Mytilus edulis: one gene and its partner. Each later gene encodes a partner of the first gene's protein in a complex. Links are inferred from orthologs where the notes say so. Each region holds a gene or a part of one and is shown on either strand. Other genes may lie near its edges.

Region 1 (7,590 bases):
TTACGAACACAAGTCTACAACTCATAATTCGGGATGGTAGTCAATGCAGGACCTAAATTTGTAGCCGGGACCATGATTACCCATTTTAGGTAATTTAAACATTCGGAAGTGGGTTACACTAATAACTGGACCGAATGACAGGACCGAATGACAGGACCAAATGAAAAATGCTAATAACTTTTTCGTTTCTCAAAGGATTGATCTCAAAGGACTAGGGGCTATAAGGGCCATTTTTGGCCCCACCCCCAAATTCCATTTAATTTGTCATGTTGTAAGTCTATACCATAGACCTTCTGAAAATAATCGAATTTTGGGTCTAGCTCGTTTATTCTGTTGCCTAGCACTCACTAAAATGGCGGAGTTAAACTCATCAAATATGATTATTATACAGCTTAAATATATCTATATTTGAAATTGAACCTGTTTAGCATGTAGTGAACTTTACACTTGTACACTATTTAAATATTACATAATTAATTGCACATTTTTGCCAATTCACTGTTGTTTCTCCCTAGCAACATAGCTGTGCCCATGGCAACCGCAATTTTTTTTCTATTTACAAGATTTAATTTTAAATATATTGAAACAGAAAGGCAATTTAAAATGTAAATTTTAAGAAGAACACTCCAAGGTAAATATTACGGGGGAAAGCAATATTGAAACACCAACAAACAAAACAAAACACCGGGTATTGCTGATATATACAGATTGTGCATCTGATGCTGGGTGGGGTCCCACTTATCAGCGACAAGAAGAATAATATAAAGACACGACACATTTAGCGCTTAGAAATCTTAATATTGATTATCTTAAATAAATAGATACAGACACATGCATTAAAGGGTGTTTTCAAAAGTCAGTGTATTTCCATGATCATGACAGTAGTTATGTTTCCGGAAGGGGTTGGGGTTGAAGGGGGGCACTTCTATTTACACCTTTTTAAGCTTGAATAAGTGAAAAGTTGAGAAAACTATCAGATATATATGATATAACTTTTTTCCTACGCAATTTATGAAAAGGTATATATTTTTAAAATGTAAAACTGGGTAAGGTGACAAAACAACGGCACCCCCTATCAATTAAGTATTGAAGTGCACCCCTCCAAACCCCACCCCCTTTAGACTTATGTAAAGGATCGTTAAGGTTGACTTTTCCAAATTTATCTTATTTTTATTATCTATTTCAGTCGTCAAGACTTATAACCGTATCATTCTATAGAATTACAAAACTGGAACATGCTACTATATCAAATTAATCTGTATTCTTAGATTTTTTCTATATTCATTATATATATATATATATAAATATATTATTTGTTTTATTGTAGTTTTTGTCAATGTGACTAGTTTACTCAGTTTTGCCTTCACTAATCTTAGCGTCGTATGACTTGGTCTTTGATCATCATGACAATATTCATTATATATTCGTCAAAATCATTGAAAACAAGAATGTGTCTTTAGTACATGGATGCCTAAATCGCAAGCCTAACAATGGCCAGGAAATCCTAAGTTAGGACAGGCCCAAAAAATCAGCAGATTTAAGCATGTTATTTTTGCGATCTCAAACCCCCTCCCCTTTTACCTCTAGGCAAAGTAGAAAAAAAATCAAACACACAATACACACAGTAAAATTTACTTCAAAAAAAGTTTGAGTCTGATGTCAGATTCAACTACCTTGACCAAACACTTAAACCTGAAGCGAGACACAGGGACAATCGGACGAACAGACTGAAATACGCACATACGAACAGACGCATACACCAGAAAACATAATGCCCACAAATGGGGCTTAACAACAAAGCCGGGTCACATTTTAAAATTTACACTGCATTTTTACGCATGATTATAAAACTATTCAAAACATAACCTTTAAAAAGGTAACAGACATGTGGTATGCTTACAGACTTTAGACTCTTGTTTCTATGCATGGAAAGGTCAATTATCCATATATACTGAACGGCATTAGAAACGCAACACTCATTTTGTTAATTTTTCTTACCAAATCTTGTTTGATTTTCTTACAACTACTTTGCATGCTTATCATACTTCTTTCTCCGTGTTAAAAATCAAAATCTAACTTACCTGTGGTTATTGAGCATACCGAGTTTTTGAAGTCGCACGAATTTCTTAAAGCGAAATTTTGGACCCATGAAAGATTGTTTCAGTTGTTTTGCTTTGTGAAACAGTTCTTTCAATCCTTTGCCTCACTTAAACCAGTTTAAAAATGTTGCATCTCTATTTTGCCAAGACTGAGAAACAAAAAACTGAATAGCACCTTAAGAATACTGCAAACATTAAAACATAAACGTGCTGCAACCACACTGAATGGCTACAGAAACTTGTCTTACTGTCCTTCCGACAACGATACAAGTAGACAAGATGTGTTGCTGGCCATCAATGAACAGATAAACGTTTAGAGACAATGAAACGTCAACAGAATTTGATTACGCAACGTCATTTGCCAAACATGTTAACGGCCGCAACGTCAACTGCTAATCAAATTACCGAGTGCCATTGAGTATAGATTCATGCCATAAATGTTTCCCATCAACTGAATTGCCAAAGAATCAACTGAAGGAAAACCTTAAATGCCCTCAAGTTCCAACCGCATAATTGCCAAAACCAATTAATGGGTTGAACAAATGCAAAACCAGAAGGTGTAAAACAGAACCCAAAACATGTCGGACAGAATTTGTTGACCTTTCTAACAATTATTTTGGCGTTTGCAACATGCAGTCATTGCTTTTGACCGTGACACATTCATTCAAAAATAACACAAAAATAATTTAGTGTTGCGTTTCTAAAGTCGGTCAGTATATATATATACATTTGCAAATTTACAGATCTTACATTGTTGGGTTGATGTTTAGACGAGTTGTATATACATGATGTACATAGCCATGTATCAGCATCACTGCTGGTGATCCAATGAATAAATCTGTTGTAGAGTTGTCACAGGCTCAGGCATACTTATATAATAATATATACATGTTTATACAGATATATGGAAAGTCTACCTTATGCCGTTTCAAATTTTATAGAACTTGTTCTCTTCTATGCACATTACCCACAAAGACACATCCAATGTAGGTAGTTTCATTTTCGAAATAAATCTTGTGTTTCTCGCCCCCCCCCCCCCCCCCCCCCCCACTTTTCGTTACATAAATCATGGATCTGACCCTAATACCAGAGAGAGAAGATTTCCCCATTCAAACAACAAATTTTGAATTTATAATTAGCAAAAACATCAGAAATGTACAGATTTTGTTATATTGAAGGTCTATCTAAAATTTCATAATTAAAAAAATTGTCCTCAAAGTTGGTATTGACTCCCTTGCACATGAAGTTTATAGCTGTCAGATTTTTTAAAGAAATCTAACTAGATAAACTAACGGAAAGATAATTAGGAATACACTTTACATTCATAAACAAAAAAAAAAGTTTCTATAGGTATAAGAATGCATAAACTAAACTTTGTCAGATGAAAAGGTCCAAGTTGGACGGCAAATTTCAGCTTTTTATTGCTCCGCTTGGCTATGAAAAATATAAAATAAACTATCGCACCAACCTTGCACCAAAAAGATTTTTTATCCGAAGTTTGATATGTATGAACTTGTCAAAATGTTAAAATTTCTAATTGGTGCAAGCATGGTGCGGTGGTCAAAATTTAGAAAAACCATCAAATTTTCGGTATTTTTGCTTATTTTCCCAATTATGACGTCATTTGCACCTACCATTGTGACATCATTGAACCTTTTTTAGTTAAATAAAAACATTTTTTTTAAATCATTTACTCATATTCTAATAATTTATGGAGAAAAATCTGCTCTGTTAGAATTTTTATAATCTTGTAAATCTGGGGCCATTTTAGGCCATTAAAGCCCCTACTCCTTTGAAATATAATAAGATTTTATCATTTGATAAATAGATTTAAGAAAAAAAATAAAAAGTTTTGTAAGAAACTTTAGAAAACGTGACATGACCAACTCTGATAATGACAGGACCAACATCGAGAATGACAGGACCAAATAAAAATTCTAATAACTTTTTTATTTTTCAAAGGAATTATCTCAGATTTGAAATATAAAATGGTATGTCATATTTTGAAACCTAAATGTTATAAAAAATATAGATTTATTTTCGAAAACTTTCGAAAACGTGACATGACCATCGCTGACTGACAGGACCAACAACGACAATGACCGGACCAGATGAAATTGCTCATTTCTCTTTTATTTCTCAAAATATTTTTCTGAAATTTGAAATATAATAAGATTTCATCATTTGATAAATAGATTTAAGAAAAAAAATTAAAAAAATATGTAAGAAACTTTAGAAAACGTGACATGACCAACTTTGATAATGACAGGACCAACTTCGACAATAACAGGACCAAATAAAAATGCTATGATAGAGATCAATCCTTTGAGAAACGAAAAAGTTATTAGCATTTTTCATTTGGTCCTGTCATTCGGTCCTGTCATTCGGTCCAGTCATTAGTGTAACCCTTCATAAATACTCATCATGATGTTTGATTACTAGCAAATTTAATTCAAATTTAAATATTCGATCAGATGGGGAAGGTCTAAAACGCGGAAGTGGAAAACGCGGAAGTGAAAAATAGGTGTATTATAACTAATATCTCTGGAACCGCTTTAGCTAAATCGACAAATAAAACTGATTCTGAAAGCTATTATAATAGGCTATAAGATAAAATTAAAAACATATTTATTTAAATATGCTTTGTTACCGAAAAGTTGACCGGAAGTCTTTCTTAGTGTGACTCTGGCAACACATTTTTGTACATTAAAACTTAAATTGACGAAAAAGCATATAACCCGGTCAAAGTCTGTAAATTGATTCTTGTAGACATTTAAATGACAAATAATATGATATAAAGAAAAAAATAAATATATTACTATAAAAGGGCAAAAAGTTGACCGGAAGTCACCCTTGTACACAAATGTTGAAGTAAAATTTTCAACTTTGAATTAAAATTCACAAAAATATAAAAAGCCCGGTCAAATTCTGTCAATTGATTCTTAAAGATATTTAAATGACAAATAATATGATATAAAGAAAAAAATAAATATATTACTATAAAAGGGCAAAAAGTTGACCGGAAGTCACCCTTGTACACAAATGTTGAAGTAAAATTTTCAACTTTGAATTAAAATTCACAAAAATATGAAAAGCCCGGTCAAATTCTGTCAATTGATTCTTAAAGACATTTAAATGACAAATAATATGATATAAAGAAAAAAATAAATATATTACTATAAAAGGGCAAAAAGTTGACCGGAAGTCACCCTTGTATACAAATATTGAAGTGAAATTTTCAACTTTGAATTAAAATTCCCAAAAATATAAAAAGCCCGGTCAAAATCGAGAACAAGATTCGAAAAGACAATTTAATAACAAATGATTTGATATAAATAACAATAAAAATATATCAAACTAAAATTGCAAAAACTTGACCTGTTGCCTAGCTTGTGTTTTAATCTTGACCCCCCTTTTATGGAAAAAAAATAATGACTAAAACTAGATATAAAATACTTGCTATTTTTATTTCATTTAATCACATTTCAATAGTATATAATTTCTGATATTTCATGTGTTCCATTTAGACATTAACAACCCTCCTCCTTTTTCACCCGGGTTTGGGACCGGCGTTGGCGGAGTTATTGTTTTTTTTTCTTTCTTATTTTGCTTTATTATTTATTGATGCACTACACTCAGTGGCTTTAATTTATCTATTTATTATCTCTTTTATGTAGGAAAAATAATGTTCAAATTAATTTCAAGAATAGGTATTGTTAACATTTTTAAAATTTATTTAAAATTTATCAAAACTGTAAATTGCTATATAATTTAAGTTAAACTATCTATATGTACTTCGCAGAACCAGCTGTTTCCTTTCATATTTTTTAAGCACAAGACCGATGTGTCCAGACATCACACATTTTACGCCCTGTTTTTCCTTCACAACCTACCATATCCTCTATTGTATCAGGTTTTCCACAGTGACAGTTTGTTGAGATAATGTGGGTTTTAGTTTTTAAATTTTTAGGAGTTTTACCGAAATATTTTTTTGGAAAATGTGTGAATTTACCATTTTCAAGACCATGAATTAAATGTTCTCTCATATATTTTTGCTCGTATGTGATATGAGTACCTCCTTTAAACCCAGTTTGACAAAATTCAAGAGCATTTGCAATTGCAAAAAGTCCACAATCTATGCTGTTTTGTTGTTTTTGGTATTCTTATTATTAATTTTTTCTTGTCTTTACCGTAGATTTGCGTTAACTGATATTCTAATGAAGTTGTTAAATTTAATGATAAGCTGTCTAGAAGATATATGTTTCCATCTCTAGTTTGAAGAGACAAAACCCAATGAGCATTACCATTATGGTGTATTTGTACACTTGGTGACTCTTGTGATTGAAAACCCGGTACGTCTAAACACTGCTAAGGACTCCTTAGTGCACTAAGGACTATACAATGCCACTAAGGACTAGAAGGACTACTGTTATACGTGTTATATTTAGATGTTATGTTAGAGATTGATATTTAATGACTAAATTTCAAATTTTATAGAAAAATAATCATATATAAAAAAGATATTCAACATTTTCTAGACACGTGCCCATTTTTCTTTGATATACCGAAAATCAATGAACCGATTGACACGTGCCAAATAATATAACAACTGATCAAACAATCATATTCTTTAATTTAAGTAATTAACAATTGTATCGAAAAGATTAATACTTGATTATCATTATAAAATGTGTTGTTCTTGTTTAAAATGATTAAAAGGACAAATAATTTTGCTTTTGTTTTATTTATTTCCCGACAAAGTTACATTTTTGTGTTGTATTTGCCATAGGTTTTATCTTTGATGTGCGCCAACTAATAAGTAAGAGTGTGGTCAGCTTGGTAAAATGTTTATGTGAGAGACATGAAGACAAAATGAATAAATATATTTATAACTTTTTTGTTTTTATTTTAATTCCGTCAAAGATGCGTGTATATACAAATGGCTTCACTAAAACTTGAGTAAATTCCAATAAACTATAAATCATGATTTTTATTTTTCCACTGTCTATTACTGCTATATACATCATATACGTAATAGTACGAATAACGATTGAATTGAAAAAAAAAATCATTTATGGACAAATAACAATTGTGAATCAATAAATCATGTGTTCAAAACGGCGATAAACTGGAAACCAAAAAGCATACCAGAACTTGTGAAAATTCTCCACGAACTAGTCAAGCTGGAATTTGCCGACTTAAGACGAGCACTGTACAGCCAAGGCAATTACCTGCTGTTTGGATACTATAAGCGCCACCAATTATTGTATCAATGCTGGCTTACAAAATCAGCTGATCAAAAAGATCGTCTTTTTCATAAACTTATGAAAGACAGTGACAAGTCCAGATTGACTGCAGAAAAAGAAAAAACTGTGACAAGTACTCTGTATGACTTTACCATGCCATTACCCCCAAACCCCCAAATTTTTTTTTCTCATCTATAATATGTGTTTCCCCCGCATCTTCTTCGATTACACTTAGTTCAAGTTTT
Region 2 (7,887 bases), on another chromosome or scaffold:
TTGCCAGATATTTACAAATTTATACCGATAGTTTGACAATATTTTCGTTTTTTGTCATTTTTTCTGAAGTGGTTAGATATTTGATGTCTTCATTTGTGCAGATGTGGCTGCGAACTTTACATCCCGCACAGCCAAACGGACTCCCAATTTTCTGCAAGAATCTTACTGTCGGTCGACAGAAAGCCTAAATTATCATATGTCTATCCCCCGGTCAACTTTCGGGGATTTTCTATTGTTTGATATCTTGTCATCTGTTTAATGATGTTTACTAGGTTTGTTTGATGTCATTTCACACGTTTAATGTGCATTTTCTAGGTTCGTTTGATATCGTGTCATACGTTTAATGGCGATTTTCTAGGTTTGTTTGATGTCATGTCACACGTTTAATGGCGATTTTCTATGTTTGTTTGATGTAATGTCACACGTTTAATGGCGATTTTCTAGGTTTGTTTGATGTCATGTCACACGTTTAATGGCGATTTTCTAGGTTTGTTTGATGTCATGTCATACGTTTAATGGCGATTTTCTAGGTTTGTTTGATGTCATGTCATACGTTTAATGGTGATTGTCTAGGTTTGTTTGATGTCATGTCCCACGTTTAATGGCGATTTTCTAGGTTTGTTTGATATCGTGTCATCTGTTTAATGGCGATTTTCTAGGTTTGTTTGATGTCATGTCCCACGTTTAATGGCGATTTTCTAGGTTTGTTTGATGTAATGTCACACGTTTAATGGCGATTTTCTAGGTTTGTTTGATGTCATGTCACACGTTTAATGGCGATTTTCTAGGTTTGTTTGATATCGTGTCATACGTTTAATGGCGATTTTCTAGGTTTGTTTGATATCGTGTCATACGTTTAATGGCGATTTTCTAGGTTTGTTTAATGTAATATTGTCACACGTTTAATGGCGATTTTCTAGGTTTGTTTGATGTCATGTCCCACGTTTAATGGCGATTTTCTATGTTTGTTTGATATCGTGTCATACGTTTAATGGCGATTTTCTAGGTTTGTTTGATGTCATGTCACACGTTTAATGGCGATTTTCTAGGTTTGTTTGATGTCATGTCACACGTTTAATGGCGATTTTCTAGGTTTGTTTGATGTCATGTCACACGTTTAATGGCGATTTTCTAGGTTTGTTTGATGTCATGTCACACGTTTAATGGCGATGTTCTAGGTTTGTTTGATGTAATGTCACACGTTTAATGGCGATTTTCTAGGTTTGTTTGATGTCATGTCACACGTTTAATGGCGATGTTCTAGGTTTGTTTGATGTCATGTCACACGTTTAATGGCGATTTTCTAGGTTTGTTTGATGTCGTGTCATACTTATAAAAAAACTATATATTGCAAATGTTTATCTAAATGAGGAAGGCAGATTCCTTGAATTTTAGATACTGCGTTTAGCACTATGGTTATGGAGGAGAAAGGAAGTATTTGGGTGAAAACTGCAAATCGTTGTATTGTTTCGTATATAACTTTTAATAACGAACGGTCTAGTTGTAGATATCAGTTCAAATTACTTTGCTGTTAAACTTTATTTACGTGTGGCTTTCTTTAAAATGGAAATAAATCCGCGTTTTATTAGTCAATCATTTTACAATTTCTAAAATATTAGTGCAAGAAAGATAATTCAATCATGTTGACTAATTACAATGTTTATTTGGTACCAAACAGAAGTCACGTTTTCCGTCCAAATAGGTTATATAACAAAATGTTATGCAACACAATAAGTAATCGTTGAACGATCTTTCAATACATACTTTAAAACATCTAATATGTTTTTCTATTTTGTGTTTTTGTTTTTTATTCTTCGTTTTCTAGGCATGGCGATATCAGTTTGTTTCGACTTATGAGTTCGAATTTTTCTTTGATATCTTTTCCTCTTTTTTTGTTTGGATATATTCACAGATATCAAACGTCGTTAATTAAAAAAAAGGAATTAAAAGGTCTGAAAGGAATTTATAACATTTGCAGTAGTAATTCTACCACAGCATACAGAAGTGCATTTTACCAATTGATGTATCTCTATATATGATATAAAAGCCGAATATGTTTAAAAGTTCAAAAACTAATACAGACGTCGAAGAGTTTTTGTAGCTCCGTGTTGAAGGACTCATTGTGATTTAGAGATGAAGAACAGCAACAAAAGCGCTATTCCATTGCTTTACTTTTTGTGTTGTTTTTATTATGTTTTGTTGTTTTTTCACCTTTCATTTGATACCTTCTAATTTCTATAATAGATGCTACTTTGTTTAAGATTCACAATTATGCATAGAAACTATTTTGTTTTCAATATGTACTTCTTTCCACCTAGTATGGGGGTTTTCTACCGGGCCCGATAAGGGGGTGTTAAATCTCATAAAATCTGTCCAAAATATGTTTTTCTATTATATTGATAGTGTGTTTCTCGTTCTGTGTGAGGACCGTAGAAAGTTGCCACGTGCTTGATATGTATGTGTGCTCTTCTGTAATTTCAGAGTTATGGTGTATTTATTCTTTAGATAACTTGTCTTATACATGTATGCCAATTCATTTTCCTCAATGTAAGGACAGGTTGAACACTAAAATGTGAATAAGACTCAAACCACCACCCACTTGATCCTCTTTCATATTTCACTATAAAACATTTAATGGAAGCGGGATCAATCTCCATAAAGTTATACATCAGTCCGTACTGCAATGGTAACCGGACTTAAGATACACCAAACCAGGCACGTCATATCTGGGAAACAGGCGGATATGTTTAACCCCGCCATATTCTTAGTGTATGTATGTGCCTGTCCCAAGTCAGGATCGAGCCTATAATTCAGTGATTGTCGTTTGTTGATGTGTTACATGTTTGTTGTTCGTTCATTTTTGTACATAAATTAAACAGTTAGTGTTCTCGTTTGACTTGTTTTACATTGTCATTTCGGTGCCTTTTTTAGCTAACTATGTGGTATGGGCTTTGCTCATTGTTGCATGCCGTACGGTGACCTATAATTGTTAATTTCTGTGTCATTAGGTCTCTTGTAGAGAGTTGTCTCATTTGCAATCATAGATACCACATCTTCTTTTCTGTATGTATGCCCGCATCTTTAGAATACATTCATAGTTTTCGTATTATTAACAATAACAGTAAATTATGTGTTCTACAAGAATCACCAGTCCTTCACCTTTCATTCGATATCTTAATTTCACATATATATGCTACATTGTTTAAGATTTACAACTATGTGCGAGTAGGAACTATTTTGTTTTATATATGTACTTCTTTCCACGTATGTTCTTTTTTTTTACCGAGCCCATTTGGGTAGTGTTTAGTCTCACAAAGTCTATCCAAATTATTTTTGCAAAGAATACCGCGCAAACCGCGGTGCTAGGAGGTCGTCTTAAATTTGCAGTGAGGTAAGACTTTTGGTTCCGTGTTGAAGGCCTCTCATTGTCATTTCCTATAAACTCCTACAAAGTTCCTTAGTGTTTTCAAAAGAAAGTAAATGTACTAATTTATAAGTTGACGATCTAGTCCAATGATATTTCTTGATAAACTTCTTACGTATATCACTATAATTTGTACATTGCAAAATAAAATGAAATTCATCCTCTTCTACATTTACATATCACATATAATACACATTCTACTGTTTTTACTTATTCTATAAAACGACCAGTTTCAATACATAAATTGTGTAAGGACAGGCGAATTTTCGTTATCAATTTACGAGCTATTACAGGAATACATTTTTGTAAATAAAATTATAATTCTACATTTGACACGATATACTTATATATTCTAAACTTTGGTGATGTTTCAAGCGTAAAATGCCACTCTTGTTGATCCGTTGTTTGGTTAATTGTAAAAATGAACTATCCAAACAACATGAACAAAGTACCCATTGGTTGTCCCAATAATTATTCATACCAAGATCATATAAAATTATTTTAAAACAAGTTGCCCGGTTTTTGCATTTATTTCTATTTGCTACTAGTTCTTTGTAACATGACTTTATAATACAATTTTCACTACCGTTAATTTTAGTCCATAATTTGAGCATCCTAAAATTTCGCTCATATAACAATAGACATCTTCCTAATGCATACTATACCTTCACATTAGAAGTCATTACATTTGGTGCTCTATGAACACCCCAAACTTCACAACCATACATTAAAATACTACATACATAAGTGTCAAATAAACTTATAGAAGTGACAGTGTTCAAGTGTAAGGATGGTGCCCTTTTCCTTTACTAAACGTAGCTTTCCTGTCTTGTTCAGCACAGTGGTTTTGAGTAATATAGAATTTACAACTATAATGAAATAACACACCCAGATAACAAGTGATTTACAATATCTAATGGTTTACTATTATAAATCCATGTCTCAGTAAGACTAATTTTCCCATCTTTACGAAAAACTACTATCTTTGCAAACTGCTTTCCATTGTTTACAGGATGATTTAAAGTTTTTGAATAACTGTTGATGTTTAAACCGCCATTTCAGTAAAAATATTTTCGAAAAAAAAACCGAAGAAATGTAATTTGTAATTACCATTTTGCTCTTTTTTTAATGGATCCGTAAAATTATTTTAATCAGATGATTTATTTTCTGTACATCTATTGTTTGAATATCATAGTAAATAAACTTTCAGTCGCTAGTATTTTCTCCTTGTCCCTTATATTTTCTTCTTGTCGCTAATATTCTTCTTGTCCCTAATTAGTGAGACCTGAATTCTCCGGGTTACCGGTCCGTGCGTGTATTTATAATCCATTTACTACTTCCGATGGAAAATGGACAAATTCAAAAAGCGAAAATAGCTTTTTATATATTTACCGTAGCGATTTTTTATTGACACTCATGGCTATTTGCAAATTTTTTGTTCAGGGCCATTGTAAATATGGAAGCAGCTGTAGATTTGAGCACCCAGTTGGGGGAAATGCAGGTACATTTTGTGTATTTTTATTTTTCAGATAATCTTCATGAACAGATGAATATATTTTTTTGCCAGTAATTGAAGTATAAAACAGAATAGTTAACACAGGCACTTGTGTCAATACATATTCATGCATCAATACTTTGATAGTAGACATTCCAATGGATAGGGATGGGGTCTGCTAGACAGTCCGACAGTTCAATATTAGTCTGATGGATCAATAGTCCGACAGTTTAAGGTTCATGTGGACCCTATGGCTAAAATGGCCATATTTTCACCTCAAAATTTACTATGAGTACAGGCAAACCTGTGCATCTGGAAACGTTTTAAGGCATAGCATGCCCTAGATAAATAAAATTCAAATGCATTGTATGATTTAGAAAATTCATAACTTAACTGGATTTTGCCGTACACTTTTTTTCGTCCCTGCAGAAGATGATAAAATTAACAAACAGTTGAGTTTACCTTGATATGGTCCACTCAGGTACACAGTTTAAATAACCAATTATTGTCATGTATCTATTGTCCATCTAATGTCCATGTCAATCAATAACGCTCACTTCAATTTTTACCTGTGGGGAAGTTCTCAAACCTGTTTCCCAACTTAGTTTATTTTGGCACCTTCTGGAGGAATGAAAAAAAGTGCACGGCAAAATCCTGGTAAGTTTTTATTTTTCTAAAACATAAAACATATTTGAAATTATTTTATCTGGGGCATGCTATGCCTGAAATTTTTTACAGATGCGCAGGTTTGTCTGTACTCAGAGTAAATTTTGAGGTGAAAATACGGCCATTTTAGCCATAGGGTCCACATGAACCTTAATAGTCCGACAGTTCTATAGTCCGACGATCTGATAGTCCGACATATACAACCAAATATGATATAAACTAATCACAGACACAAGACGTTCTACCTGGCTTTTGAGACGTGACAGACCTAAATTTTCCAAAACTGATGCCCTATTATTGTCATACATTGTATGCAGATCCAGCCCCTCCCCTTTTTCATAACAAAATTTTGGTTGATTATATACGGAATCACTGAAGCATGACTGGAGCGGCCCCTCCCCCTTAGGTCAGTCAGCCCGCCCTCCTCCAACCCTTTATGAAAAGTTCTGGATCCACTACTGATAGTCCGAGATTACTCTGACGTCCAACGGCAGTTTTGCCAGACAAGCTCAATGAAGCTGGGACGGTGGGATGTCAGAGCTCGCCCCATATCAAAAAGTGGATATTTGCCCACCCAAAATAGATGCGCTGCTTCGTCACTTCTGGTGCCGACTGACGGCCGTGGAATTATATAAATCGGGCATCAATCTGTTTATTTTTCAAATTTATCTCTTCATTTATGTTAGTTTCACCTACCTGCCAACCTTTTTTTCCACATTTTAACAGATTTCAAAGAGACCCATCGATTTCTGCATTTTGACTATCAGTTTCAAATGGACGTCAATTTACGAGAGAGTTCATGGCCTTGAGCATGTTGAGACTCAATTATGCAAATATTTATATTTTTTCACCTCCTTTATAGATCAATGTTTAACATTAAGTAGCCAACCACGATTTTTCACCTCCTTTACAGGAGATCGGCATTAAGCATTTTAGTTCCGACCACGATAACAATCGGAAGGTCTCAGAAATTTAGATAACTTGCATCGTAAATGGACGAGGTACATGTATACATTATGGTCATTTCGATAATCATCACTGTTTTCTCGTGGTCACGTGATAATCTTTGAAAATGAAAGGCAATATGCAGAAATCCATCGGTCACTGTGAAAACTGTCTAATTATGAGAAAGTAAAGGTTGGCAGGTAGGTGAAACTTACATAAATGAAGAGATAAATGAAAAATGAACAGATTGACGCCCGATTTATATAATTCCAAGGCGGTCAGTCAACACCAGAAGCCACAAAGCAGCACATCTATTTTGGGTGGGCAAATATCCACTTTCTAATATGGGACAAGCTCTGACCTCCCACAGTCCCAGCTCGTCTTGTAAAACAGCCGTTGGACGTCAGAGTAATCTCGGACTACGCTACTGATCATTTTTAACTTATTTCACAGATACCCTCCTCCGATTCCACCTTTGCCCGTATTTAACTCAATGCTTACATCAAAATGCGTTCAATATCTATTCTATAAAAATATAAATTTTTTTGAAATCGTAGATACTTATTAAAGTTATTTTGAAATTGAATACTGTCGCCAAACTGCCGCCCCCCCCCCCCCTTTTCTTTTATTTATTCTTTTTGTTAAAAAAATAATAATAAAAAAATATTCTTTCATATTCCAACCTATATCATGTATATTTTAAACTATTTAACATGTTTAAAACACTTGAGAATTTTACACTTTTCACGTGAAGAACGGTGCATAGTGTGAGTTACCAAGTTGATGATGCAAGCACAGGAAGTGTCAACAATGTTAATTTTGTTTTCAAATTAACATCTTTGTCTAAGTTGGAAGTTTCCATGAAAATGTGGTATATAAAGGACTCAATAATAAATTTATGCAGTTACTTCTGAATATATACAGTAGTACATGTACATATAATGTACCACGGCCATGGCTACAATATAGATATATTTCAGGATATGCTTACTCTGCACAGAGACAGTTATTTGGAGGAGGGGGAGGTGGTAGAGGAGGGGGAGGAGGAGGAGGGAGATCTCAACAAAACCCGAACCAGTACAAATGGCAGGCCTCTGACTACAGCCAAAGGCAGGGACAACCTCAGGCAACACAACAGATGTCTACTAATGATGTTATGTAAGACTGTACATTACTTTATGGTCCTATACAACATTGTACAAGGTTTGAAATCGCTGATGGCCCCTAAAATTTGGTGTGGGTTAATAAAATTGCTGCTTTTCTTGTGTAGGGACTATATATGTGGGCTACACAATTTAAGCTGTGGGCTACAATTGCCAAGTCTTAAATTCAATCCCTGTCCTAAGTTTTACATGTA

Evidence for each region.
Region 2: the proteins of mRNA export factor GLE1-like (region 1) and nucleoporin NUP42-like are in contact, whole or in part, in a crystal structure (PDB 6B4I), measured with the Homo sapiens proteins. The link is inferred for Mytilus edulis from reciprocal best matches to the Homo sapiens genes GLE1 and NUP42. Residues at the interface, in NP_001003722.1 of Homo sapiens: Ile385, Ile593, Leu598, Asn599, Trp602, Arg603, Ala606, Gln607, Leu609, Asn610, Gln636, Tyr637, Gln638, Val639, Gln640, Lys643, Met644, Ile646, Leu647, Glu650, Asp651, Tyr652; in NP_001357375.1 of Homo sapiens: Asp185, Asn186, Val187, Leu188, Phe189, Gln202, Phe203, Gln204, Ser205, Lys206, Lys207, Phe208, Leu210, Gly211, Lys212, Ile213, Pro214, Leu215, Lys216, Pro217, Pro218, Leu222, Leu223, Asn224, Val225.

The regions. Positions count from the first base shown.
Region 1 is NC_092349.1:81,811,524-81,819,113, reverse strand, and holds the start of mRNA export factor GLE1-like, read left to right. Parts: upstream 1-4,512; 5' UTR 4,513-4,573; coding exon of another isoform or gene 4,574-4,577; intron 4,578-7,590. UniProt on the Homo sapiens protein: Required for the export of mRNAs containing poly(A) tails from the nucleus into the cytoplasm. May be involved in the terminal step of the mRNA transport through the nuclear pore complex (NPC).
Region 2 is NC_092355.1:51,273,409-51,281,295, reverse strand, and holds the start of nucleoporin NUP42-like, read left to right. Parts: upstream 1-4,748; 5' UTR 4,749-4,840; coding exon 4,841-4,925; intron 4,926-7,510; coding exon 7,511-7,688; intron 7,689-7,887.